7 linked regions of the Macaca fascicularis genome follow. The protein of the gene in region 1 purifies or fractionates together with the protein of each later gene. This does not show direct contact. Links are inferred from orthologs where the notes say so. Each region holds a gene or a part of one and is shown in the gene's direction. Other genes may lie near its edges. The genes, in order: HNRNPH1, TARDBP, HNRNPDL, HNRNPU, HNRNPR, DDX5 and COPRS.

The links.
Region 2: the proteins of HNRNPH1 (region 1) and TARDBP purify together in Homo sapiens (affinity purification with western blotting; 3 studies listed by BioGRID and IntAct, with this or other methods). This does not show direct contact. The link is inferred for Macaca fascicularis from reciprocal best matches to the Homo sapiens genes HNRNPH1 and TARDBP.
Region 3: the proteins of HNRNPH1 (region 1) and HNRNPDL fractionate together in Homo sapiens (co-fractionation; 3 studies listed by BioGRID and IntAct, with this or other methods). This does not show direct contact. The link is inferred for Macaca fascicularis from reciprocal best matches to the Homo sapiens genes HNRNPH1 and HNRNPDL.
Region 4: the proteins of HNRNPH1 (region 1) and HNRNPU purify together in Homo sapiens (affinity purification with mass spectrometry; 4 studies listed by BioGRID and IntAct, with this or other methods). This does not show direct contact. The link is inferred for Macaca fascicularis from reciprocal best matches to the Homo sapiens genes HNRNPH1 and HNRNPU.
Region 5: the proteins of HNRNPH1 (region 1) and HNRNPR fractionate together in Homo sapiens (co-fractionation; 3 studies listed by BioGRID and IntAct, with this or other methods). This does not show direct contact. The link is inferred for Macaca fascicularis from reciprocal best matches to the Homo sapiens genes HNRNPH1 and HNRNPR.
Region 6: the proteins of HNRNPH1 (region 1) and DDX5 purify together in Homo sapiens (affinity purification with mass spectrometry; 4 studies listed by BioGRID and IntAct, with this or other methods). This does not show direct contact. The link is inferred for Macaca fascicularis from reciprocal best matches to the Homo sapiens genes HNRNPH1 and DDX5.
Region 7: the proteins of HNRNPH1 (region 1) and COPRS purify together in Homo sapiens (co-immunoprecipitation; 3 studies listed by BioGRID and IntAct, with this or other methods). This does not show direct contact. The link is inferred for Macaca fascicularis from reciprocal best matches to the Homo sapiens genes HNRNPH1 and COPRS.

What each region holds. Positions count from the first base shown.
Region 1 is NC_088380.1:186,467,459-186,471,631, reverse strand, and holds the start of HNRNPH1 (heterogeneous nuclear ribonucleoprotein H), read left to right. Parts: upstream 1-1,373; 5' UTR 1,374-1,802; intron 1,803-2,442; exon of another isoform or gene 2,443-2,842; intron 2,843-2,959; 5' UTR 2,960-2,990; coding exon 2,991-3,087; intron 3,088-4,173. UniProt on the Homo sapiens protein: This protein is a component of the heterogeneous nuclear ribonucleoprotein (hnRNP) complexes which provide the substrate for the processing events that pre-mRNAs undergo before becoming functional, translatable mRNAs in the cytoplasm.
Region 2 is NC_088375.1:223,784,474-223,787,973, reverse strand, and holds part of TARDBP (TAR DNA-binding protein 43), read left to right. Parts: coding exon 1-2; intron 3-2,521; coding exon 2,522-2,692; intron 2,693-3,500. UniProt on the Homo sapiens protein: RNA-binding protein that is involved in various steps of RNA biogenesis and processing.
Region 3 is NC_088379.1:51,444,950-51,448,376, forward strand, and holds the end of HNRNPDL (heterogeneous nuclear ribonucleoprotein D-like), read left to right. Parts: coding exon 1-77; intron 78-246; coding exon 247-361; intron 362-913; coding exon 914-1,084; intron 1,085-1,425; coding exon 1,426-1,496; 3' UTR 1,497-1,518; intron 1,519-1,884; exon of another isoform or gene 1,885-2,671; 3' UTR 2,672-2,927; downstream 2,928-3,427. UniProt on the Homo sapiens protein: Acts as a transcriptional regulator. Promotes transcription repression. Promotes transcription activation in differentiated myotubes. Binds to double- and single-stranded DNA sequences. Binds to the transcription suppressor CATR sequence of the COX5B promoter.
Region 4 is NC_088375.1:4,318,098-4,321,597, forward strand, and holds part of HNRNPU (heterogeneous nuclear ribonucleoprotein U), read left to right. Parts: intron 1-1,094; coding exon 1,095-1,234; intron 1,235-2,174; coding exon 2,175-2,274; intron 2,275-2,709; coding exon 2,710-2,822; intron 2,823-3,272; coding exon 3,273-3,500. UniProt on the Homo sapiens protein: DNA- and RNA-binding protein involved in several cellular processes such as nuclear chromatin organization, telomere-length regulation, transcription, mRNA alternative splicing and stability, Xist-mediated transcriptional silencing and mitotic cell progression.
Region 5 is NC_088375.1:211,786,354-211,789,853, forward strand, and holds part of HNRNPR (heterogeneous nuclear ribonucleoprotein R), read left to right. Parts: coding exon 1-95; intron 96-3,214; coding exon 3,215-3,328; intron 3,329-3,500. UniProt on the Homo sapiens protein: Component of ribonucleosomes, which are complexes of at least 20 other different heterogeneous nuclear ribonucleoproteins (hnRNP). hnRNP play an important role in processing of precursor mRNA in the nucleus.
Region 6 is NC_088390.1:71,096,259-71,100,435, reverse strand, and holds the start of DDX5 (probable ATP-dependent RNA helicase DDX5), read left to right. Parts: upstream 1-1,377; 5' UTR 1,378-1,506; exon of another isoform or gene 1,507-1,775; intron 1,776-2,026; 5' UTR 2,027-2,169; coding exon 2,170-2,213; intron 2,214-3,415; coding exon 3,416-3,581; intron 3,582-3,936; coding exon 3,937-4,033; intron 4,034-4,141; coding exon 4,142-4,177. Other genes in the region: CEP95 (centrosomal protein of 95 kDa), read right to left, coding at 1,148-1,166. UniProt on the Homo sapiens protein: Involved in the alternative regulation of pre-mRNA splicing; its RNA helicase activity is necessary for increasing tau exon 10 inclusion and occurs in a RBM4-dependent manner. Binds to the tau pre-mRNA in the stem-loop region downstream of exon 10.
Region 7 is NC_088390.1:38,091,665-38,094,243, reverse strand, and holds the end of COPRS (coordinator of PRMT5 and differentiation stimulator), read left to right. Parts: intron 1-927; coding exon 928-1,146; intron 1,147-1,644; coding exon 1,645-1,814; 3' UTR 1,815-2,079; downstream 2,080-2,579. UniProt on the Homo sapiens protein: Histone-binding protein required for histone H4 methyltransferase activity of PRMT5.

The sequences.
Region 1 (4,173 bases):
TGTCTCAAAAACAAAAGCAAACAAAAAAACCTTCTTTCATTGCCAGACATGGTGGCTCATACCTGTAATCCCAGCACTTTCTCTGGGCAGCTGAGGTGGGATGACTCCTTGAGTCCAGGAATTCAAGACCAGCTTGGGCAACAAAATGAGACCCCATTGCTACAAAAAGAAAAATAAAAAAGTTATCTGAGCAAGGTGGCACATGCCTGTGGTCCTACCTACTCAGGAGGTTGAGGCAGGAGGATTGTTTGAGCCCAGGAGGTAGAGGCTGTAGTGAGCCATGTTTGCACCACTGCACTCCAGCCTGGGTGACAGTGAGGCCGTTTCTCAAAAATAAATAAATAATAAATAAAAAATAAATATTTAAAAACCTTGTTTTAATATGTTGGACAATTTATATATAAGAGCATTGGCTATAAATGTATGAAATTTATTCTACCTCACTACTATTTTTTTTGAGATGGAGTTTCACTCTTGTTGCCCAGGCTGGAGTGCAATGGCATGATCTCAGCTGACTGCAACCGCTGCCTACTGGGTTTAAGCAATTCTCCTGCCTCAGTCTCTCCAAGTGGTTGGGATTACATGTATATGCCACCATGTCTGGCTAATTTTTTTTTTTTTTTGAGAGGGAGTCTTTCTCTGTTGCCCAGGCTGGAGGACAGTGGTGTGATCTCAGCTCACTGCTTCCTCTGCCTCCTGGGTTCAGGTGATTCTCCTGCTTCAGCCTCCAGAGTAGCTGGGATTACAGGCGTGTGCCACCATGCCCAGCTAATTTTTGTATCTTTAGTAGAGATGGTGTTTCACCATGTTGGCCAAGTTGGTCTCAAACTCCTGACCTCAAGTGATCTGCCTGCCTCGGCCTCCCAAAGTGCTGGTATTAGAGGCGTGAACCACCGCACCTGGCCAGAGTCTCTCTTTTTGATTACCTCAGCCAAAGTGTTTTCTGAAATGGTACCACAGATATGTGCTTCCAGTTCCGTTTGTAGTAGAGGGCATGGCATGTACCGTCATTCACCCTGCCTGCTCCATCTGCATTCCCCTCACATCCAGCAAGTTTTCCTTTGCATAGGGCTTATTGCTCCCCTGCTGATCACCTGCCAAAGCCTTCTCTCGGAGTTAACATCCTTGCCAAGGCCTAAGTGGCTTTTGAAGATCAGGCCCTGCTTAGCTCTGGGCTCCCGTCTTTCTTTTGATGTCCTCTCTACTTTTCTCAAACCTGTCAAAACTGGATTCGGACTCTGTGGCCCTGGGGTTGGAAACATGCTTCGTCTGCATCTTCCCAGGGTGGCACTTAGGCCTGCACTAGCTAAGGTAGCCCTGCGGCAAGGTCCAACCCTGCCTTATTGTTAATTTGTTTATTGTCTGTGTCCACTAGAGCTGGGGTGAGGAGGGCAGCCAGATCAGACCTGGGGAGGCCTGGGAGGCTACGGCATCTTCGGTGTTGGGCAGTGCTGTTAGAAACCACGAACATTACTCATCTGGCAGCATGTGTGCACATGGGGTGAGCCGGGGGTCTCCTCGAATGCGGCGTCTACGCCCGGGGATTGGACGCACTGTTACCGATTCTGTCCTGGGAGATTCAGCGGTAACCTACCGGGCAGAGGCCGGCACGCACCCGTGGAGAAGCCCGCGCTCGCGATTCCTCCTCGTGCCAGGGCCCCAGGGCACGGAAGGCCCACCGACCGTGAGGCGGGTCAAGGGGTACACAGGGTGCGAGTTCGTTAGGCAAAAGCTGGGTACAGGCGCGAGCCACAGGCACGGGAACCTCGCGCCGACCGGGGCCCTAGGCCCGACGACCGCAGGTAAGGGGAAGTGGAGGCACACATGGCTGGGACGTGCCCCAGGCACCATCCGGGTGGCTTCGGGCGCGGGACGTCCGCAGCCCCGCAGCTCCCAGGACGCTCGACCATCTGCGGCTGATCAGCTTCGGCCGGTTTGGGGATAAAGGGGAGACAGGCGGCGCGGGGAGTGGGAACGCCTGAAGGCCGCGCCTCTCCTTTCAGGTCGGCCAGGAGCGCACCGGTAAGAGCCAGGGGGTAAGGGGTAGAAAGACGCCCACCTCTTCAACCCAGAGCTCGGGACTCCTATACAGTCCCATAGGGAACAGGCGGCCGCCATTCCCCTCCCCCACGCTGGCGGGTAAGGCTAGAGAACGGTTTCAAGGAAGACGCATGCGCATGAAACAATTATAAACCGCTAAGACTCCCAAGTTCAATATTCGCGGGAAGGCGCATGCGCAATAAAAAGCCCGGCGGCTTTATGGGTGGGGGTGCTGCGCCCAAAACCCAAGCGTGTAATAATCCGCCGGCGGACGGTGGGCTGGCTCTTGAAACTACGCATGCGCCAGAGCTCTTTGTGACGCAACGGGGCGGTGCGGGCAGCTGGCTGCGCGTGCGCAGAACTCGCACAAAGGGCCTTATTTAGGTTGCGCAGGCGCCCGCTGGCCATTTCGTCTTAGCCACGCAGAAGTCGGGTTTCTGGGTGAGTCTCGGTGGGTCCTCGCTTGCAGTTCACCGACCACCGTGGGCGCCGTTTTTGCGAGGATTGGTTGTCCTCATACCTCTGGGAGGGCCACGGGGACCTTGGCGAGCTGCGGGCTGCCATCGAGAGCCGCGAGTGGTTCGCTGAATGTCGGCACCGCAGCTGAGGCCTGCAGGCCGCGCCGACTCTATTGTGTGAGAAGTCGGAGGAGGCGGAGCGGAAGCGGCCGCCGCCATTTCCTTTCCTCCACGCTGGCTCGGCCCGGGCCCCCACGGTTCGGGGCGCCGACGGTTGCTGCTCAGAACAGCTTTTGGGGGTCCGGCCGCCGGACGAGGAGGTGTTGGGTATTGGAGCCGCCGGGGTGGGTGCATCCCCCCGGTTTTTGCTTGGTGGGGGGGCCGGTGCGGGCCCGGGGGCGCCTCGGAGGCGGAGGACAGCTTAATTGGCGCTCTCAGGTCTGGTCCTCCCCGCCTTGCAGTTTGTTTCGACGCCGGACCGCGTAAGAGACGATGATGTTGGGCACCGAAGGCGGAGAGGGATTCGTGGTGAAGGTCCGGGGCTTGCCGTGGTCTTGCTCGGCCGATGAAGTGCAGAGGTTTTTTTCTGGTGAGTTAGAACTAGGACGCGGGAGTTCGAGTTCGAGGCCGGGGCGGGCGGGCTGGCGGGCAGCCGGGCTGGGGCGGGGCGGGGCGGCGGGACCCGGGGCGCCCCCTGGCGAGGCGCGGGCGACTGCACTCACCGCCGTGTGGCTCGCGCCCGGCCGGCCGCGGTTACGCAATGGAATTTTCGAAAGCCCCGCCCGTCCTCCTGGCCCTGCGGGGGGAGTGCGGCAGATCTGGCAGACCCTTTGATTTCTTTACTACCTTTGAACACCAACTTTTCTTTTATGGATGTCGTTTTTCTTTTTCCTTTGTGTTGGGAGTCTCTGTCACCCAGGTTGGAGTGCAGTGGCGCGATCTCGGCTCACTGCAGCCCCCGCCTCCTGGGTTCAAGCGAGTCTCCTGCCTCAGTCTCCCGAGGAGCTGGGACTAGAGGCGCGCACCACCACGCCCGGCTAATTTTTGTTTCTTTAGTAGAGACGGGGTTTCACCATTTTGGCCAGGCTGGTCTCGAACCTCTGGACCTCAAGTGATCAGCCCATCTCGGTTTCCCAAAATGCTGGGATTACAGGCGTGAGCCACCGCGCCTGGCCCCGGTGTCTTTTTGCGAAAAGATGAATTGGCATAGGTGGGTTTCCTCCTCAATCTCGAGAAAATTGCCGAGTAATTAGACCAATAATAGTAATGTTTTTCAGTATCTTGAAGTGTAATCTCTTGTTTCCAGTTCTGGTGTTTCCTTGAAAAGGAGCATTCTTCGGAAAGTTAAAATGTCACGTCTTAATTTCAGTTTTCCTAATCAAGATTTGGTAATTGAAGAGTGTTTGCTCATCTAGTTCTTAATTTGGCTGGCTATACAATTGAAAACACTGAAACCCAGGGAAGTGTTTTTGGAGTCCCTAGGTTTCCTGAATATTTTCTATCAGAATGTCCTTGTTCCCATTATTAGACTGGGAAAAATTAGACTGATAAAATTCTACTTGTATGAAATTGACAGCTTTTGGCAAGACGTTTGTAGTGTTGACTTACTATCTGAATTTAGCATTGGTAACGGAAAACGACCTGTAAAACAAGAACCAAGTACACTGGAAGCCAC
Region 2 (3,500 bases), on another chromosome or scaffold:
AGGTACTTGGGTCTGTGCTTTGGGATTTTTTGCTGACAAACTTCCTTAGAAGATTGTAAGATAAAATGTAAACACACTTAGAAAAGATAGTGGTAGGGTGTGTTCATGAAATCCTTTTGTCTTGTTGAAGTCTTTGGCCCTTAATGCATGCTGAATATTTTATGCTTGTTTGAAATATTTAGTTTATTACTTCTCCAAATGAAACCTTTGTTCATTTTGTTCTTCCTTTTTGTTATGCATGGAAAAGAGGAAAGATTATTTGTCAAGTTAACAGTTTCTTACATAGTTATATGTTAAAACATAAAGACAATCAGAATACGTACATTAATCTTGTTATAAAGACCTTTTTCCAAGCAAACAAATAACATTTGCTTATTTGGAACATCATCATCTTTGCCAGGAGATTGCGTATTTATTGATTTTCTCAAATCCAAATACAGTCATGCGTCACATGGCAAAGTTCATCAGTCAGCAGCAGACCACGTGTACAGCAGTGGTCCCATAAGATTATAACACTGTTTTTATGGTACCCTTTCTTTTTTTTTTTTTTTTGAGACGGAGTCTCGCTCTGTCACCCAGGCTGGAGTGCAGTGGCCGGATCTCAGCTCACTGCAAGCTCCGCCTCCCGGGTTCACGCCATTCTCCTGCCTCAGCCTCCCGAGTAGCTGGGACTACAGGCGCCCGCCACCCCGCCCGGCTAAGTTTTTGTATTTTTAGTAGAGACGGGGTTTCACTGTGTTAGCCAGGATGGTCTCGATCTCCTGACCTCGTGATCCGCCCGTCTCGGCCTCCCAAAGTGCTGGGATTACAGGCTTGAGCCACCGCGCCCGGCCTTATGGTACCCTTTCTATGTTTAGATACACAGATACTTACAATCATGTTACAGTCAGTCACCTACAGTGTTGAGTACAGTAACTTGGAAGTTTGTGGCCTGGGAGCAATAGGCTATACCATCTAGCCTAAGTGTGGGGTAGGCTGTGCTATCTGGGTTTATATGATGTTTGCACAATGACGATCTTTTGTTTGTTTGTTTGTTTGTTTGAGACAGTGTCTCACTTTGTCGTCCAGGCTGGAGTACAGTGGTGCGATCTCAGCTCACTGCAAGCTCCACCTTCTGGGTTCACGCCATTCTCCTGCCTCAGCCTACTGAGTAGCTGGGACTACAGGCGCCTGCCAACACGCTTGGCTGATTTTTTGTATTTTTAGTAGAGATGGGGTTTCGCCATGTTAGCCAGGATAGTCTTTTATTTTTTATTTATTTATTTTTTTTTTTGAGATGGAGTCTCGCTCTGTCACCCAGGCTGGAGTACAGTGACCGGATCTCAGCTCACACTGCAAGCTCCGCCTCCCGGGTTTATGCCATTCTCCTGCCTCAGCCTCCCAAGTAGCTGGGACTACAGGCGCCTGCCACCTCGCCTGGCTAGTTTTTTGTATTTTTTAGTAGAGACGGGGTTTCACCGGGTTAGGCAGGATGGTCTCAATCTCCGGACGTTGTGATCCGCCCGTCTCGGCCTCCCAAAGTGCTGGGATTACAGGCTTGAGCCACCGCTCCCGGCCGCCAGGATGGTCTTAATCTTCTGGCCTCATGATCTGCCCAGCCACTGCGCCTGGCTTTTTTTTTTTTTTTTTTTTTTTTTTGAGACGGAGTTTTGCTCTTGTTGCCCAAGCTGGAGTGCAATGGCGTGCTCTTGGGTCACTGCAATCTCCGCCTTCCAGGTTCCAGCAATTCTCCTGCCTCAGCTTCCCGAGCTTCTGGGATTACAGTCATGCACCACTATGCCTGGCTAACTTTGTATTTTTAGTAGAGATGGGGTTTCTCCGTGTTGGTCAGGCTTATTTTGAACTCCTGACCTCAGGTGATCCACCTGCCTTGGCCTCCCAAAGTGTGGGGATTACAGGCGTGAGCCACTGTGCCCGGCCTTTTTTTTTTTTTTTTTTTTTTTTTTTTTTTTTTTTTTTTTTGAGACGGAGTTTTACTCTTGTTGCTCAGTCTAGAGTGTAAAGGTGCAATCTTGGCTCACTGCAACCTCCACCTCCTGGATTCAAGTGATTCTCCTGCCTCAGCCTCCCAAGATGCTGGGATTGCAGGCACCTGCCACCACACCCAGCTAATTTTTGTATTAGTAGAGCTGGGGGTTCACCATGTTGACCAGGCTGGTCTTGAACTCCAGACCTCAGGTGATCCACCCGCCTCGGCCTCTCAAAGTGCTGGGATTACAGGCGTTCACCACCACACCTGGCCACAATGATGAAATTGTGTAATGGCTCATGATGTATTTCTCAGAACATATGTCCATCGTGATGTGATGCATGACTGTACTTTTGTAACTTAAAACGTTACTCTTCACTGAAGCCTTTTAAGAAAAAAAATGCTGATGCAAAAAATGAAGGGTATGTCTACTTTTTAATGATTCACTGCTATCCAAGGCAGAATGATTTTGTTATATCCCTTACCTTAATGCTTTTTTCATTGTTCATAACATATTTCTGAGTTTTTTTTTCTTCCTTTTGATTTGATCAGCAAAGCCAAGATGAGCCTTTGAGAAGCAGAAAAGTGTTTGTGGGGCGCTGTACAGAGGACATGACTGAGGATGAGCTGCGGGAGTTCTTCTCTCAGTACGGGGATGTGATGGATGTCTTCATCCCCAAGCCGTTCAGGGCCTTTGCCTTTGTTACATTTGCAGATGATCAGGTATTTTTCTCCTTAACAATATGTCCCGACCAGGCGTGGTGGCTCATGCTTGTAATCCCAGCACTTTGGGAGGCTGAGGTGGGCGGATCACGAGGTCAGGAGATCAAGACCATCCTGGCCAACATGGCGAAACCCTGTCTCTATTAAAATACAAAAAAAAAAAAATTAGCTGGGTATGGTGGTGCACGCCTGTCGTCCCAGCTACTCTGGAGCCTGAGGTAGGGGAATCACTTGAACCCAGGAGGCGGAGGTGGCAGTGAGCTGAGATCACGCCACTGCACTCCAGCCTGGTGACAGAGCAAGACTGTCTCAAAAAAAAATATGTCCCAGGTAATTAGGTAATTTCTCTTGAACATTTCCCATCCAGCTAATTGCTAGTCTTAGCTGAGTTTTCTGACCTTGTAAGATGTAGGGTGTATGGGCCTAGACGTTTGTGATACCTGTATCTGATATCCCAAATGTAATATTTTTAAAAAATCTAAAAGTAAGTATACCTTTAGATAGTTTTCAGTATGTGGCATTTGGGAATGTTATATACCATTTTTTGTTTTGTTTTTTGTTTGAGATAGAGTTTTGCTCTTGTTGCGCAGACTGGAGTGCAGTGGCACAATCTCGGTTCACTGCAACTTCCACCTAATGGGTTCAAGCAGTTCTCCTGCCTCAGCCTCCCAAGTAGCTGGGATTATAGGCGCCTGCTACCACGCCTAGCTAATTTATTTGTATTTTTAGTAGAGACACGGTTTCACCATGTTGGCCAGGCTGGTCTCAAACTCCTGACCTCAGATGATCCGCCCACCTCAGCCTCCCT
Region 3 (3,427 bases), on another chromosome or scaffold:
GTTTTATCACATACACCGATGAAGAGCCAGTAAAAAAATTGTTAGAAAGCAGATACCATCAAATTGGTTCTGGGAAGGTAAAGCCATTTAAGTACTTTAAATGAAAATTTTAAGGATTTCTTTTTTCTTTTTTTTTTTTTATCTTTTAGTTTTTGAAATTTCTCAATGTGTTTGAGAAAAATAAAATGATTAAATTTTAGAACTTGAGTAAAAATTCTATTTTCGTGTTTTTTAATTTGTTTATAGTGTGAAATCAAAGTTGCACAACCCAAAGAGGTATATAGGCAGCAACAGCAACAACAAAAAGGTGGAAGAGGTGCTGCGGCTGGTGGCCGAGGTGGTACGAGGGGTCGTGGCCGAGGTGAGACTTAATTCTTGGAATATGACTCCATGGTTTAAGCTGTATACTGCTAAATATGAGTAGTCCTGTACGAAACTAAAACTTTAAACTTAAAACAATTCCAGCGGGAGGAAAATGTTCAGCTTAGTGGGGGTTGTGTGTGGTGGTTTTTGTTGTGAGCTCACTGGTTTCAAAAAACTGTTAAAAGTATGGCCATTTTGACAATTAGTGTCATCACTGACAGGAAAAGTGTACCATTACATGATGCGCCATGGCGTGATGGGTTTTCTTGGGCAGGAGTCCTTGTTTTAAACAGAACAGTATACCTGTCTTCAGCTTTAATGGAAAATTGAATGATTTTCCATTAAATTTAGGAAGTTTGATACTGGCACAATTGGACTTTCTGCCCCCCTTTTTTAATAACAGCTGGAAGAATAGTTTTTCAAGCAGATAGTGCTATATATGTCCATTCTGCCCTTTAAGATTTGCAGAGTGAGAGACAAGAACGCATCATTTTATGTTAGAATTGGGGGTCAGAAGTTGTTTCCTAACAATCATTGTGCATTGTTTCAGGTCAGGGCCAAAACTGGAACCAAGGATTTAATAACTATTATGATCAAGGATATGGAAATTACAATAGTGCCTATGGTGGTGATCAAAACTATAGTGGCTATGGCGGATATGATTATACTGGGTATAACTATGGGAACTATGGATATGGACAGGGATATGCAGACTACAGTGGTAAGAATATTTAACTTAATTTTATAAACCAGTGGTATTAAAATTCATTGTTAACATACAATCCTGTTCTGAAATTGTGTGTACGGGCTTTCTGTTTGGAGTTAAGTGTTTGAGGCATGTTACAATCATAGGGTGATTATACTAACATAGTCTGGTGGTTATAAATGAACTAGGATGTATGATTTACGACTAGCTTATAATGGGTGTTAAAATATCTTAATATTTTAATACTTTTTATTTAGCATGCAAAGATTTGTAGATTTAATCATTTCTCAGTGTGTTTGTAAAGAAACAGTTTTGTAGAAAACTATCTTAATGAAATTTCTGTGTTTTCAAAATAGGTCAACAGAGCACTTATGGCAAGGCATCTCGAGGGGGTGGCAATCACCAAAACAATTACCAGCCATACTAAAGGAGAACATTGGAGAAAACAGGTGTGTATAAGAGTACAGGAAAACAGTAGAAATGTCTAATTTAATTTAAAGATCAATAGACAAACGTAAAAACAAAATACTATGTAGCTTGTTCTTACTAAATTGTTGATTTTTTTTAATTGCTTTATGAGCCTGTTTTGCCTAAAGTGTCTATAGATCTTTAACTTTAAAGTCTTATCTCACTTTCTTTAGTATTGCAGAAAAACTTAAGAGTTTTTCTGTTTGCTTTTGTGTACCAGGTGGTCTAGAGGAATAATTAAACATTTTAGAACTATTAACAGGTAAAGTACTGAAATGGGTACAACTTAAGGAAAACAAGAATGTTGTCTTCTAACTCTGACATTATACCTTGTTTGTACCCGCCAGCGGGAACTTCATTGCAGGCCGTGTGTCACCCTGACCACGTCTATCTCTGGGGGTCGCACGTTGCGGGCAGAGCGCAAGGCATACACCAGAAAACGCTGTCCTGTGGTATGGTCTCTTCCAACTTCATGTACCAGCGTAAAGATTAAAGTGGAAAACTTCAGACTTTGGCTTCTTTTTTAATCTTTTTGGAGATTAAGTGTCTAAACTTAACTTAAATGGTTTTTTACAGGAGTTAAAATACATAAATGCCTTTTTACAGCTTAATCATTTTGGTCTTCTGTTTAGTGTTGTATTTCAATTGTGGAGCCTCATTTTAAGTGTTCATTCTTTTAAGATTTAATGCTTGCTTTTTCTTTTTATAGCTAATAGTGAAATCTACAAACCAAAACAAGAACTTTTAAATCTGGGATATAAATTAAAGATCATATGCACAATTCAATTTATGTTCTTGTAATAAGCTTATTAGAAATTGGTGTTTGTGATAGCATTTTACTTGGGTTACTAGAGATGCTTCTAGTAGACCTTAATCTAGCATAGTTGAACCTGTGAATATGGGAAGATTGTATTCCCAGATTCTTTCCTGAATAGATTTGAATTTATTATTATTTGGGAACTCCAGGGTGAGTTTATTGACTAACCAAACTGTATTTTGCCAATAAATATGCATATGATCTTTAATTATTGAAGAAAAGAATAAAGTGAGGACTTAAAACAGTTCATGAAAGTGGACCTTTAAAAGCTTGTCAGAGTTGCACAAATCTAATTGGTATTTTGTTTTTGTTTTTAGGAGGAGATGTTAAAGTAACCCATCTTGCAGGACGACATTGAAGATTGGTCTTCTGTTGATCTAAGATGATTATTTTGTAAAAGACTTTCTAGTGTACAAGACACGATTGTGTCCAACTGTATATAGCTGCCAATTAGTTTTCTTTGTTTTTACTTTGTCCTTTGCTATCTGTGTTATGACTCAATGTGGATTTGTTTATACACATTTTATTTGTATCATTTCATGTTAAACTTCAAATAAATGCTTCCTTATGTGATTGCTTTTTTGCGTCAGGTACTACATAGCTCTGTAAAAATGTAATTTAAAATAAGCAATAATTAAGGCACAGTTGATTTTGTAGAGAGTATTGGTTCATACGGAGAAACTGTGGTCCTTTATAAATAGCCAGCCAGCATCACCCTCTTCCCCAATTTGTAGGTGTATTCTATGCTCTTAAGGCTTCATCTTCTCCCTGTTAAGTGAGGTTTCTACCACACCTTTGAACAATGTTCTTTCCCCTCTGGTTATCTGAAGACTGTCCTGAGAGGAAGACGTAAGTGTTGTGATTAGTAGAAGCTTTCTAGTAGACCATGTTTCTTCTGGATTGTAATAAAATTGTTAGCTCCTTTTACTTTGTGCCTGTCTCTGGAAAGCCATTTTTGAATCGCTAATTACTTTGGCTTTAATCAGTGGTCACCTGGTAAAAGCTTTGTAATCATAACACAATCACTTAATTCTTGATAAAAATTCAGATGCACACAGGAGCACTGTAAAACT
Region 4 (3,500 bases), on another chromosome or scaffold:
ATTTGTAAGAGTGTAAATGTAAAACTCTTTCTTACTGGAATGTCCTTTACAGAAGGTTGAGATAGTCATCTGAGCCTTTTTGAAGTAAAAAACTGCAGGTGAAAAAGGAGTTAGTTGAATTGAAAGTTTTATGTGAAATTCTGGGTTGTGTAAATAAAAAGTTGCTAGGAATTGGCAAGGTAGTGAAGTGGTGACTCATGCAGGTAATGTAATTGTTAGATTTTTTAGCAAATCAGATAGGCATATGTCAATATAAACACAATGTTGAATTCAAACAATCTGTTGAATTAAATTCTGCTGATTACAGTAATTCTAATTTAAGAAAAATTCCAAACTGTAGATTTATTTTTCTCTGATCAGTAAAAAAAAAATTGAATTCCAGCTTGACTTTAGCTGTTGAAGTGAGAAGTCTGAGAAGGTGCATGTTAATGAGCCAGTGACCCATAGGTAGCTAGGTTAAAGACACTTTGGATTTGGATAATCCGGGAAGCAGTTAATCCCTAATTGTTGAACAGGCAGTCCTGGGTAAAGAGGACCTAAAATGCTGCACTATTAACAGCATTAGACGGCCAGGTTTGTACTTCATAGATTTAGGCTGTCTTCTTCACAAGTTTTAGAAGAAGAATTTAGGAGCTAGAGCCCTGGTGCAGGATCAACAGCAGCTCATACTCCTGTTTCAAAATAATTTGGTCGTGGCCTCCCTTCAGTTTTAATGTGGCACTGGTAAATCTACCTGGTTCTGGCATGCTTCACTTTGATTTCCTGCTATCCTCTACTGCTTGCCTCTAAATCAAGGTAAAGAGCAGAGCAGGTATGTATTAATGTCACATTGTCTTGATTATTTTAAATACTTAAAATATACATGTTAAACCTTGGTATTAGTTTCAGAGGCAGTTTACTTTTCAGTACATAATTTAAAAGGAGTGACTTGGTGGGAGTGGGGCTTTAAACTGAAAATTGGAACAACAGCATGATGTGGAGAAAAGTTGTGCAGCGTTAAGTACATGCAAAAATTAAATAACCAAGTTTTCTCTACATAGCATATATGTTTACATTGGATGTCAAAAGTAACACAGTATTTGATATAATTACAGATAATTGTGATCTACATTTTAAAATATCAAGAGATCGTCTCAGTGCTTCTTCCCTTACAATGGAAAGTTTTGCTTTTCTTTGGGCTGGAGGAAGAGCATCTTATGGTGTGTCAAAAGGCAAAGTGTGTTTTGAGATGAAGGTAAATGCAATTTTATGATGTTTTTGTTTGATTTTGGAGACAGAGTCTCACTCTGTCCCCTAGGCTGGATTGGTGTGGTGTGACCCAGGCTCAACTGCAACCTCCTCGTCCTGGGTTCAAGTGATTCTTCTTGCCTCAGCCTCACAAGTAGCTGGGACTATAGGCACGTGCCACCACACCTGGCTAATTTTTGTATTTTTAATAGAGAACGGGGCTCCTGACCTCAGGTGATCCACCCACCTCGGCCTCCCAAAGTGCTGGGATTACAGGCTTGAGCCACCGCACTTGAGCCAGCCTTTTTTTTTCTTTTCTTTTTTTCTTTTTAAAATAGTGACAGGGTCTCACCATGTTGCCCAGGCTGGTCTTGAACTCGTAAGCTCAGGTGATCTGCCTGCCTGGGCCTCCCAGAATACTGAAATTACAGGTGCTTCATACTGCTAAGTTATCAGAGGTACTTATTTTTTGAAGCTTCCTGTAAATTAAAAGAGGAACTTGGAACCTTCATTTTGTTGTGACAGTTAAGTTATGTTAGAACTTGACATGCAGAGCTAGGCAACTTTTTATTTAGGGTACTTCATTTTTATCAAGCATTTGAAAGGGCCACCAAAGAGTGAAAAATAAAATTTGGTTAGATTACAGGTTTTGTTGGCGAGAAAAACATTAAATGTATCCTTTAATTGGCTTTAAGTTGAAGACTGACAACATGAACTGTAAAAATATTAACTATTCTTTTAAGTATGGGTCAAATAAGTATTTAACATTTCAAGTTATAAGCACATCAGTTTAAAGTTCTTACAAATATTAGGGATGGGCTAGAGTGTGCCATCTCTTTGTATTTATAGCTCGAGGAAGATTAGCTCATGACCCTATGAAATAAGCCAGAGTTAAGGGGTTACCTCCTTGGTTTATGATTTTAATTATTTAATGATTCGACTTTCAGGTTACAGAGAAGATCCCAGTAAGGCATTTATATACAAAAGATATTGACATACATGAAGTTCGTATTGGCTGGTCACTAACTACAAGTGGAATGTTACTTGGTAAAGATTCTTTTTGACTGATGTGGGCTCATGAATGTTTAGGAGGGTCTGATATCCTTATTTTTTAACCAGACTAGAAGGCATTCTAAGCCTTTTGTCTGTTTTTATCTATTCTGTTAATACTTCAGACAAGTAATATTAGCACATAGTAGGCACAGGCTACATTTTAGTTTTTGTTCCTTTATTAGAAGTTTATGGTTGAAATAAAATCTTACCCATGATATGCAAATTGTCAACTAATTTGGTCTCTGCATATATATATATCCCTCCTAACTTTCATCAATTCTAGTACAGAGGTAGAAAAGTAATAGTGTCAGTGACAGGTGATTAGGTTATATGCTCATTTCTCTTGTAGCCTACATTTTAAGTAGTGAAATAGATGAGTCTTTGGACTATTTTAAAAATCTGCTTCACGAAGGTTAATTACTTTCTTAGGTGAAGAAGAATTTTCTTACGGGTATTCTCTAAAAGGAATAAAAACATGCAACTGTGAGACTGAAGATTATGGAGAAAAGTTTGATGAAAATGATGTGATTACATGTTTTGCTGTAAGTTAAAGCTAACTTTCTATGTATAAATGGCAAATTAGTAGCTATATCTAGGAACTTTTAAGAAGCTTTATTAAGGTCAATCTTCAATAGGAGCAACATAAATACACCAGTCCCTGGGTTAGTATAAATACTCATTCAGCAGTTGAATTGGGAAAATACAGGACATTTTTGAGGAACTCACTAATTTCATTTTGACTGAAAACAATGAAGATGAAATTGACCTAGAAAATTTAGTCTAACTTCTAGGTCACTATTGTTTCTGGTTCTGGAGATCCGTGCTTCATTGTTTGTAACCATCAGATTTCTTAACTGTGTAGCCCTTAGAGGCCACTTAATAGTTGTTTAACCTGTAGCTCCCACAGGATAAGCTTTGCTCCTAATTTTAATTATTAGTTTTTTAGAAAGTTTACAGGAAGCAGATAACTTGAATTTTTTGCTGTTTAACAGAACTTTGAAAGTGATGAAGTAGAACTCTCCTATGCTAAGAATGGACAAGATCTTGGCATTGCTTTCAAAATCAGTAAGGAAGTTCTTGCTGGACGGCCACTCTTCCCGCATGTTCTCTGCCACAACTGTGCAGTTGAATTTAATTTTGGTCAGAAGGAAAAGCCATATTTTCCAATACCTGAAGAGTATACTTTTATCCAGAATGTCCCCTTAGAGGATCGAGTTAGA
Region 5 (3,500 bases), on another chromosome or scaffold:
TTTTATGTGGAGTTATGAAGACCTACAGGCAGAGAGAGAAACAGGGGAGCAAGGTGCAAGAGTCCACAAAGGGACCTGATGAAGCAAAGATCAAGGTAAAACTTGGGTAGTTGTAATGAAATTGCATTTAATGATGAGGTCAAATGCTTCTTTCCATATTTCCTAGAAAGTTTCACTTTTTTTTTTTTTTTTTTTTTTTTGAGACGGAGTCTTGCTGTGTCGCCCAGGCTAGAGTGCAGTAGCGCAGTCTTGGCTCACTGCAAGCTCTACCTCCCGGGTTCACACCATTCTCCTGCCTCAGCCTCCCGAGTAGCTGGGATTACAGGCATGCACCACCACACCCGGCTAATTTTTTGTATTTTTAGGAGAGACAGGGTTTCACTATGTTGGCCAGATTGGTCTCTATCTCCTGACTTTGTGATTCGCCCACCTCGGCCTTTCAAAGTGCTGGGATTACAGACGTGAGCCACCACGACTGGCTGAAAGGTTCACTTTTTAAAACTGGTGTTTAGAAGTGAAATAATTTAGAGGAATTACATAAGAAGGATAATTTTGGGGGTCAGCACTCAATTGCATGTTTAATGAAAAGCCCTACTTCATACTCTTCCTCATTCCCTGTTTTGTGGTGATGAATGACGTGTATTTATTGATGCTTCTGCTGGTAGTTTCTTGGATTGATCCAGTAATGTCTCTTGGTTCAGTTCAGTTATTTTCCAGCCACTTTGTTTCTTTTCTTTTTTTTTTTTTTTTTTTTTTTTTTGAGACGGAGTCTCGCTCTGTCGCCCAGGCTGGAGTGCAGTGGCCAGATCTCAGCTCACTGCAAGCTCCGTCTCCTGGGTTCACGCCATTCTCCTGCCTCAGCCTCCCGAGTAGCTGGGACTACAGGCGCCCGCCACCTCGCCCGGCTAGTTTTTTGTATTTTTTAGTAGAGGTGGGGTTTCACCGTGTTAGCCAAGATGGTCTCAATCTCCTGACCTCGTGATCCGCCCGTCTCGGCCTCCCAAAGTGCTGGGATTACAGGCTTGAGCCACCGCGCCCGGCCTGTTTCTTTTCTCTTGATAAAAAGGTGTTACAACCGCTTTCCTCCTTTTGAATTTTCAGTTACCTTGGTTTCTTTATTTGTAAAATGGGAATGGTAATAGTGACTACCTCACAGAGTTATTATAAGGAGTAAATGAATTAACATATTATAAAGCACTTAGAATAATGCCTGGAATGTAGCAAGAACTATGTAACAGTGAACTGTTATTATTATTACCATTTTATTACTTAGATAAACAGCTTTGAAAAGTATATATACAGCTTTTAATGAAAGACCAGTGAACTTAATTCGTTAGTTAAATGGATGGATGTTCGTGTCTTGCTATAGTGATATACTTTTTTTTTTTTGAGACAGAGTCTCGCTCTGTGGCCCAGGCTGGAGTGCAGTAGCACCATTTCAGCTCACTGCAACCTCCGTCTCCTGGGTTCAAGCGATTCTCCTGCCTCAGCCTCCTGAGTAGCTGGGACTACAGGTGTGCGCCACCACACCCAGCTGATTTTTTTTTTTATTTTTTGGTAGAGTCAGGGTTTCACTGTGTTAGCTAGGCTGGTCTTGAACTCCTGACCTTGGGGGATCTGCCCACCTCACCCTCCCAAAGTGCTGGGATTACAGGTGTGAGCCACCATGCCTGGCCTGTGATAGACTTTTTGATTAGAAATAGTTATTTGGTGTTGAAGTTATTTCTGTTATTATTACATTGTAATATGTAATGAAATAATCATACAACTCACCATAGTGGAGAATTAGTGGGATCCCTGAGCTTGTTTTCCTGCAACTAGATGGTCCCATCTGGGCATACTGGGACGTAGTGACAGATCTTCAGGCATTAGATTCTCATAAGGAGCATGCAACCTAGATCCCTTGTATGCGCAGTTCACAATAGGGTTCACGCTCCTATGAGAATCTGATGTGGTTGCTGATCTGACAGGAGGCGGAGCTCACAGCTCAGGCAGTAATGCCAGCGATAGGGAGGATGAGGAGCGGCTGTAAATACAGATGAAGCTTTGTTCTCACTTGTCCACTACTCACCTCCTGCTATGCAGCCTGGTTCCTAACAGGCCACGGACCAGTATGGGTCTGTGGCCCAGGGGTGGGGAGACCCCTGTTTTACATTACATTTATGGCTCTGTTTCAGTCAAAGGTAGAAGAATGGAAGGCTGAAGGTATGCATCCCTGTGGAATCCTAGTGTTCACCGAACTTGATGATATCTAAAGTCTCTTGCCGTTCTGACAATGTGTGATTTTAAAAACCTGGCCGGGCGCAGTGGCTCACGCCTGTAATCTCAGCACTTTGGGAGGCTGAGATGGGCGAATCACGAAGTCAGGAGATCGAGACCATCCTGATTAACATGGTGAAACCCCGTCTCTACTGAAAATGCAAAAAATTAACCAGGTGTGGTGGCCCATGCCTGTAATCCTAGCTACTTGGGAGGCTGAGGCAGGAGAATGGCACGAACCCGGGAGGCGGAGCTTGCAGTGAACCGAGATCACGCCACTGTACTCCTGCCTGGGTGACAGAACAAGACTCTGTCTCAAAAAAAAAAAAAAAAAAAGGTACACTAGAAAGACAGTGGGGGCTGGGCACAGTGGCTCATGCCTGTAATCCTAGCACTTTGGGAGGCCAAGACAGGTGGATCACTTGAGGCCAGGAGTACCTGACCAGCCTGGCCAACATGTTGAAACCCCATCTCTACTAAAAATACAAAAATTGGCTGGACATGGTGGTACATGCCTGTAATCCCAGCTATTTGGGAGGCTGAGACAGGAGAATTGCTTAGACCCAGGAGGCAGAGGTTGCAGTGAGCCGAGACGATGCCACTGCACTCCAGCCTGGGCAACAGAGCAAGACTCCATCCCCCCCCCAAAAAAAAAAAGAAAAAGAAAAGAAAGACAGTAGGAAGAAATGGATGTGAGAGTAATAGTAAATGAGAGAAGCTGCATGGAGGTAAGACTTAATGCTGAATTATTTTTTTAAGGATAGAGAACATTTTATTTGAAAAGACTCACCAGTAGAAACGTGTGGGGAACCAGTGTGAATTTTGACTTTGTTTTACCTAACCATAAAAATATATCTCCTAGGAAGTTGGAGTACTTTTTGGAAAAGATTAATATACTGATGCTTGTGTGTTAGATTTAGTATTCAAGTATAAAGAGATGTATAATTATCTCTAGGCCTTGCTTGAGAGAACTGGTTATACTCTGGATGTAACCACAGGACAGAGGAAGTATGGTGGTCCTCCACCAGACAGTGTGTACTCTGGCGTGCAACCTGGAATTGGAACGGAGGTAAGTGTTCTTTAGCTGTTTACCAAGATCTTTCCAGTTTGGAAAGTGTTTTATCTACTATGCAGATACTATACAGATGGGGGAAAATTCTTGATCCGTTTCAAAGTTTAGCTGTTGTTATTTTTTAGATATCCATGTGTATTTTGCTGCCATCATGAGGATAGATAATCTT
Region 6 (4,177 bases), on another chromosome or scaffold:
TTAAAACATGTTTACAAGTAAACAGGAATATTATGTCATAAGCAACAGTTTAATAATAATCTGAAGTTACTAGACAGTCATTAATAAAATATGTTGCTTCAAACTCCCAACAGTATTGGTCATGTGTTTACCCAATTATCTTGTGCAAGTCAGGATTTCTCTGGTGCCCAAATAAGTGGTGATTAAACTTAGGCTGTTAAGAACTGGCATAATGACAACATCAACACTAATGCATTTCTTAGTTTTTCTTTTTTATTATATTGATCTACATGAAACAAAATATTGGAAGTACATGAAGCTCAGAATTATCAATACTGTTGACGTTTCCTGCATACCACATTCTCCTCTCCCCTAGATATTGCTGGGATTTGCGAAGTTTAACAGTTTCTCTACCAAAAGCAACTTAGCTTAAAATACTTGTTCCTTGAAATGCCTGACGATTGGTAGGAAAGCACTGGCAATCGATATTAGAAACAAACATCTCCACTATGTTCTGGACACATGACGTTCTGGAAACGAATGAGAGTGTATCTTCCAGGCACATAATCCCCCCTCTCCAAGCCCATTTCTCACAACTGGCCAAACCATGACAACTGGTTTGTACGCAGTCCTAGTGAAAAGGATGAAAGCGTCCTAGACAACCAAATTAATTCGCTCTTCAAAAGCGGTGCTAGACAAAGCCCATGACTCTAGAGGGCACTGAAGAGAAAAAAGCACCACTATTCTTCTGTGGCAGGGGCATGAATAAACCTTAAGAGTGCCGTTCCTTTAAAGACCACTACAAAAGGAGGTACGACCTCAGGGCCCATAGTGCAAGGGAGGAGGGCACATGGACAGCGGCTAGACGCCCCACAGAAAGACAAGTCCGAGGACGACCCTTCTGACTGCTCTTTTTGCAGCCAGGACCCGAGCGTCCTACCGGCCTCGCCCCAGTGCCTCTCTCCCACCTCATACTGCTGTTCCACGGCCTCAAAGCGAAGAGGGGGTGAAGCTGAGAGACCCTATCCAGAGAACCCGCCACCGCGACGCAGCGTCTGACAGTAACGAGCCCCGCCGACACCCCAGACCCAGTCCGGGCTAGCCCGAGGCCTCCCTGAAGGTGGACAGTTTCAGTAAACACACACCGCGACCCCAGGGAAACACTCACCAGCCTCCGAGCGGGCCATGTCTCGGAAGCAGGTCGCCGCCGGACTCCGACGCTGCCAGACCGGCGACGGTGTCCTGCAAGGACCGAACGCAGAGCAGACGCTGGGGGGCGGGCGCACGAACTAAAGCGCGGGGAAGGAGGCGTGAAAGAGGGAGGGACGTTAAAAGAACTTCTCGCCGCTGATTGGTCATCAGAGGAGCACTTCCTTTCACAGCACGTGCCACGGAAGCGGTTTGGGAAGTTTAGAGACCATTCTCCGCCGGCCAAAACCCGTCACAGGATTGTCAGACCCGTGGGTCGGACGGTCCAAGTTAGCCGGCAGCTGGGGGCGGGTCCCGGGTGCTGGCAGCGCACTTCCGGTGAGCTATTTCGTTATGTATCCCTCCGCCGACGTCAACGGGGAAGTAGTGCGGCCCCCTGTCACGGTGGGCGGTGGGGGGGTAACGTCACGTGACAACGCCAGGCCCCCGCCTTCCCTCTCATTTGGTTACAGGCGTGAGGGCTCTTTGGAGACGTAAACACCTCCGAGTGGGGAGGGTGGGCGGGCTTGGGCTGGCTGTTTTATCGTCTGGCTGGGCTTGGGAAAGGGCAGGGTGGCTTTCTTGAGGTGTGGAAAGACGAGAAGAAGGTGAGGTCAAGAGAGTGGAGAATGAGGCATTTCAATGGTGGGTGGGCCCTGACCTGAGAGAGCGGCACGGGGTGGGGTGAAAGCGCGGCGATCGCGGAACGCCGGCGGGCGTTGCGGCCTCTGCGCGAGGGGCGGGGCGATTAGGTCATAGAGCGGCTCCCAGCGTGCCTTGCGGCGTAGGAGGAGGTCCAGACTATAAAAGCGGCTGCCGGAAAGCGGCCGGCACCTCATTCATTTCCACCGGTCTCTAGGTGTGCAGCTTTGGCTGGTGTCATCGCCGTCACTCCTCCGCTGCCGCCCCCGCAAGGCTTCGCCGTCGCCGAAGCCATTTCCAGCGACTCGTCGCACCCTTTTCTATCTACTTCGTTCCCCGCCAACCGCAACCATTGACGCTATGTCGGGTTATTCGAGTGACCGAGACCGCGGCCGGGATCGAGGGTGAGTGTGGGAGCCGAGTTGTCAGGGCTGGCGGGTGGGGGATGGGAGGGCGGGTCAGGGTGGCGGCGGGCCGGGGCTTTGCGGCTTGGACTCGGCCTTTCCGGGCTATCTTGGGGCCTCCTTTCCCGAAGGCTTGCGCCATTTTGATATTCACGTAACAGTGAGTGGGAGAGATTTGACGGGATAGTGTCTTCATCCTCGCTTTTTGTGTGGGGGTCGGGGAGCCGTCGGGGCGGCTGCCATTTGGTAGCTGTTGAGGGAATTCAGAGGGAGCGCATTGTTCGGATGAAAGCGCGACGCTTCGAGGCAGACGAAGGAACAGCTGTTAGGTGCGGCCTTTCGGGAGGTGTTTTTGGGGTGGTCGGGCATTCTGTGGGAGCGAAGGGACCACCTCCAAAGCCACTGGTGCTGTGGGGGTAGGAGGGCGGCCGGCATCAGCCATGTGGCTGAGTCGCGGGTATAAAATGCCGGCCTTGGACATGGCGGCGGCGCCTTTGTTACTCCGCCCGGCGGAGGAGCTCAAAATGGCAGCGTCGAGAAAATGTGGCGCAGAGAGAAATGCGAGACAAAGGGGGAAGCGCCGCCCCAGCGGGAACGCCGCCCGGCCGGCTCCGCCCGGGCCGGGACTCCTCCCCCGGTAGTCGCCGGCTCCTCCTTTTCTTTTTTCCTGCGTTATATAATTTTAATTCGTTGATCCGGAGCTCTACCGCGGCGTCCCCCCAGCTCGGTTTGCTAGCAGAAGTGTTTCTAAACCGTTGTTTCGTTTTCGTTGTCTGTGCTGTCTAGATTGTTGACATCAAAGCTCTTTGGCTTGAAAACGGCCATATGAGTAACATCGTTGTGATGCTCTTCGGTTCATGTAGGCTTGTTATCACTGATAATGAATTGCTAGACTGGTGAGAAAGATAATAGTAACCACAAGAAGTGGTGTGTAATACTAAATTCTGGCATCTGGGTGACAAGTTTTCGATATAGTAAATCCCAGGCTGTTTACGTGGCCTAAGTTGTGTGTACTTGGGACTACGGGAAACGTTAACTGTGGCTGTTGAGAGAGAGATTATCACTAAGGACAGTGCTAGGTTTACCTCTCGAAGTCGGCTTTCAGTGATCTTTAGCTTGTGCCAAGGGATGGTAAACAAATCTGTCCAGAAACCTAGGTGTAGCCATTTGAAAATGTAAATAACTTTTTTTCTTCATTCCAGGTTTGGTGCACCTCGATTTGGAGGAAGTAGGGCGGGGCCCTTATCTGGAAAGAAGTTTGGAAACCCTGGGGAGAAACTAGTTAAAAAGAAGTGGAATCTTGATGAGCTGCCCAAGTTTGAGAAGAATTTCTATCAAGAGCACCCTGATTTGGCTAGGCGGACAGCAGTGAGTAAATTCATGTGGCTTCATCAGGCTGTAACTCAATGGAGTCTAGTAAATGAAATTCTGACAGGTGTTTTGCAAATAACTCAATTTTGGTAGAGTTACGTTTTCTGACTTCATAATTGGGAAAGGTGTGACTCACTTTTGCAAATAGGTGGCTTTGGGAATTTTTTTTTTTAGATTGAGTATAGCAGAATAAACGGTTTTTTTGTCATATAGGGTTTTCATACGCGGTTCCAGATTAAAATGAAGCTACTTTAAACTAATTACTAAATTATGAAGTTACGGACTTGCCAATTACGTATTTAGTTAGGGGTGGTTGTCATGAGCTTTAAGACTGTTATAATTTGTTTTGCAGCAAGAGGTGGAAACATACAGAAGAAGCAAGGAAATTACAGTTAGAGGTCACAACTGCCCGAAGCCAGTTCTAAATTTTTATGAAGCTAATTTCCCTGGTGAGTGCTACTTTTCAGTTCTACCCTACCCCTGTGTTTTTGTTTTCACCTACCTCCTCCTTTCCTTGGCATCACTAATTTTTGTTAAATATCTGTCACTAATTATAGCAAATGTCATGGATGTTATTGCAAGACAGAATTTCA
Region 7 (2,579 bases), on another chromosome or scaffold:
AGGCGGATGGATCACAAGGTCAGGAGTTCAAGACCAGCCTGGCCAAGATGGTGAAACCCCATCTCTACTAAAAATACAAAAAAATTAACTGGGCATGGTGGCGGGCACCTGTAATTCCAGCTTCTCAGGAGGCCGAGGCAGATAATTGCGTGAACCTGGGAGGTAGAGGTTGCAGTGAGCTGAGATGGCGCCACTGCACTCCAACCTGGGCTACAGAGTGAGACTGTCTCAAAAAAAAAAAAAAAAAAAAAGCAAAATCTTAATTCAAGCTTGTATTGTGAAAGCGTATTATTTATCAGAGGCCCTTTGCCTCAGTGACAGACATGCAAACCACCTGAAAATGTTAACTGTCCCTAGCTCTCTTTGTAAATTAAAGGACCTGGCAATTAATGGTCTTGTATAAGACAAAACATCTTATTGAAAATAAGTTGGCCGGGCGCGGTGGCTCAAGCCTGTAATCCCAGCACTTTGGGAGGCCGAGACGGGCGGATCACGAGGTCAGGAGATCGAGACCATCCTGGCTAACACAGTGAAATTCCGTCTCTACTAAAAAATACAAAAAACTAGCCGGGCGAGGTGGCGGGCGCCTGTAGTCCCAGCTACTTGGGAGGCTGCGGCAGGAGAATGGCGCAAACCCGGGAAGCGGAGCTTGCAGTGAGCTGAGATCCGGCCACTGCACTCCAGCCTGGGCGACAGCGCGAGACTCCGCCCCCCCCCCCAAAAAAAAAAAAAAAAAAAAGAAAATAAGTTATCAGGTCTTTTAAAAACATACACAGAAGAGCATTTTTTAAAAAGTGCTCAGGTGGCGAAAGAAGACTCTGTGTACTTGCTTTACTACCTTCCTAGTAAGTCTGCCCAAAATTGACTGAGCACACAGCAGGTCCTCTTTGGTTTGTCACTAAGGCCATCTTCTCTTTGTCAATTTAGCCCGTGGAGCACAGAGCGTCCCTAATGACAGTCCTGCCCGGGGTGAGGGCACCCATTCTGAAGAGGAAGGTTTTGCCATGGATGAGGAGGACTCTGATGGAGAACTGAATACCTGGGAGCTGTCAGAAGGGACAAACTGTCCACCCAAGGAACAGCCTGGTGATATTTTTAATGAGGACTGGGACTTGGAGTTGAAAGCAGATCAAGGGAATCCATATGGTAGGTGTAGAGTCTCTGGGGGTCCTGAACCAGGCCTTCTCAGACACACCTGTCAGACTAGCGCTGAAGGCAGACAGTTTGGAACAGGGGTCCACATCTATGAGCTTAGGCTGGTATCTGTTACAGGTCTGCAATTTCTGTGACACCTCTTTTATATTGAAAAAAATACATTTGACTTCGTAATGTATCACTGTTTTAACATCAAAACTGTCACTGTCTCCAAAAATGTCTGCTATGAATTGAGCAGCTGCAGATAGAAGTGCTGTGTTATCCAGTTTGCTTCCTCTCCACTGCTAAGAACCCTTGTCTGAGAAGCACAGCTTCTCAGCTGTTCAGAATGAATGCATTTACAATTCTTCAGGAAAGGAGAACTGTGTGTGTTTTTAAACAAAATAAGTGCAAGGATCTGTCCCCTAGGCATACTTTGTGGCTGTCCATTTTTACCTTCCTTCCTTCCCTCCTTCCTTCCCTTAATCTGTCTTTTAAAACTGCCTGCAGATGCTGACGACATCCAGGAGAGCATTTCTCAAGAGCTCAAACCTTGGGTGTGCTGTGCCCCACAAGGAGATATGATCTATGACCCCAGCTGGCACCATCCGCCTCCACTGATACCCCATTATTCCAAGATGGTCTTTGAAACAGGACAGTTTGACGATGCTGAAGATTGAGTGTGGAGCTTTCTGCCTTGTAGGTGGGCGGGCCTCCACGTCAAGATCTCTTTTCCTGTCTTGGAGGTGAAAAGTGGTATCTGAGAAAACGTTCTCAGTGACCCCTAGTCTGCAGTACACAGACTAGTTCTTTATTGAACAGTGTTCAATAAGGCCCCGTCGTTCTCCCCAGTCTGTTGTTGTTACTAATGGGCTCCTCCTTGGAATGTGTATGTTTGTGTCAAGAGGAGTTGTGTTCTTTGTAAATAAAGGTGAAAAAAAGAAACTAGTATGCTTCGTCTGCTTTTTTCCCATTTATTTATTTATGGAGACAGTCTCACTGTGTCAGCCAGGCTGGAGTGCAGTAGCACAAACTTGGCTCATTGGAACCTCCACCTCCTGGGTTTAAGCGATTTTTGTGCCTCAGCCTCCCGAGTAGCTGGGACTGTAGGTGCATGCCACCACACCCGGCTAATTTTTTGTGTTTTTAGTAGAGACGGGGTTTCACCACGTTGGCCAATCTGGTCTTGAATTCCTGGCCTCAAGTGATCCACCCACCTTGGCCTCCCAAAGTGCTGGGATTACAGGTGTGAGACACTATGCCCAGCCTTCACTCCTTCATTTAAAGTCCCTGAATGACGTTTTAAAGATTGAAACGCTTGGAGGCTTAAAACTACTTTGTGAAAGAAAAAAAAATTGCCAGGCGCAGTGGCTCAAGCCAGTAATCCCAGCACTTTGGGAGGCTGAGACGGGCGGATCACGAGGTCAGGAGATCGAGACCATCCT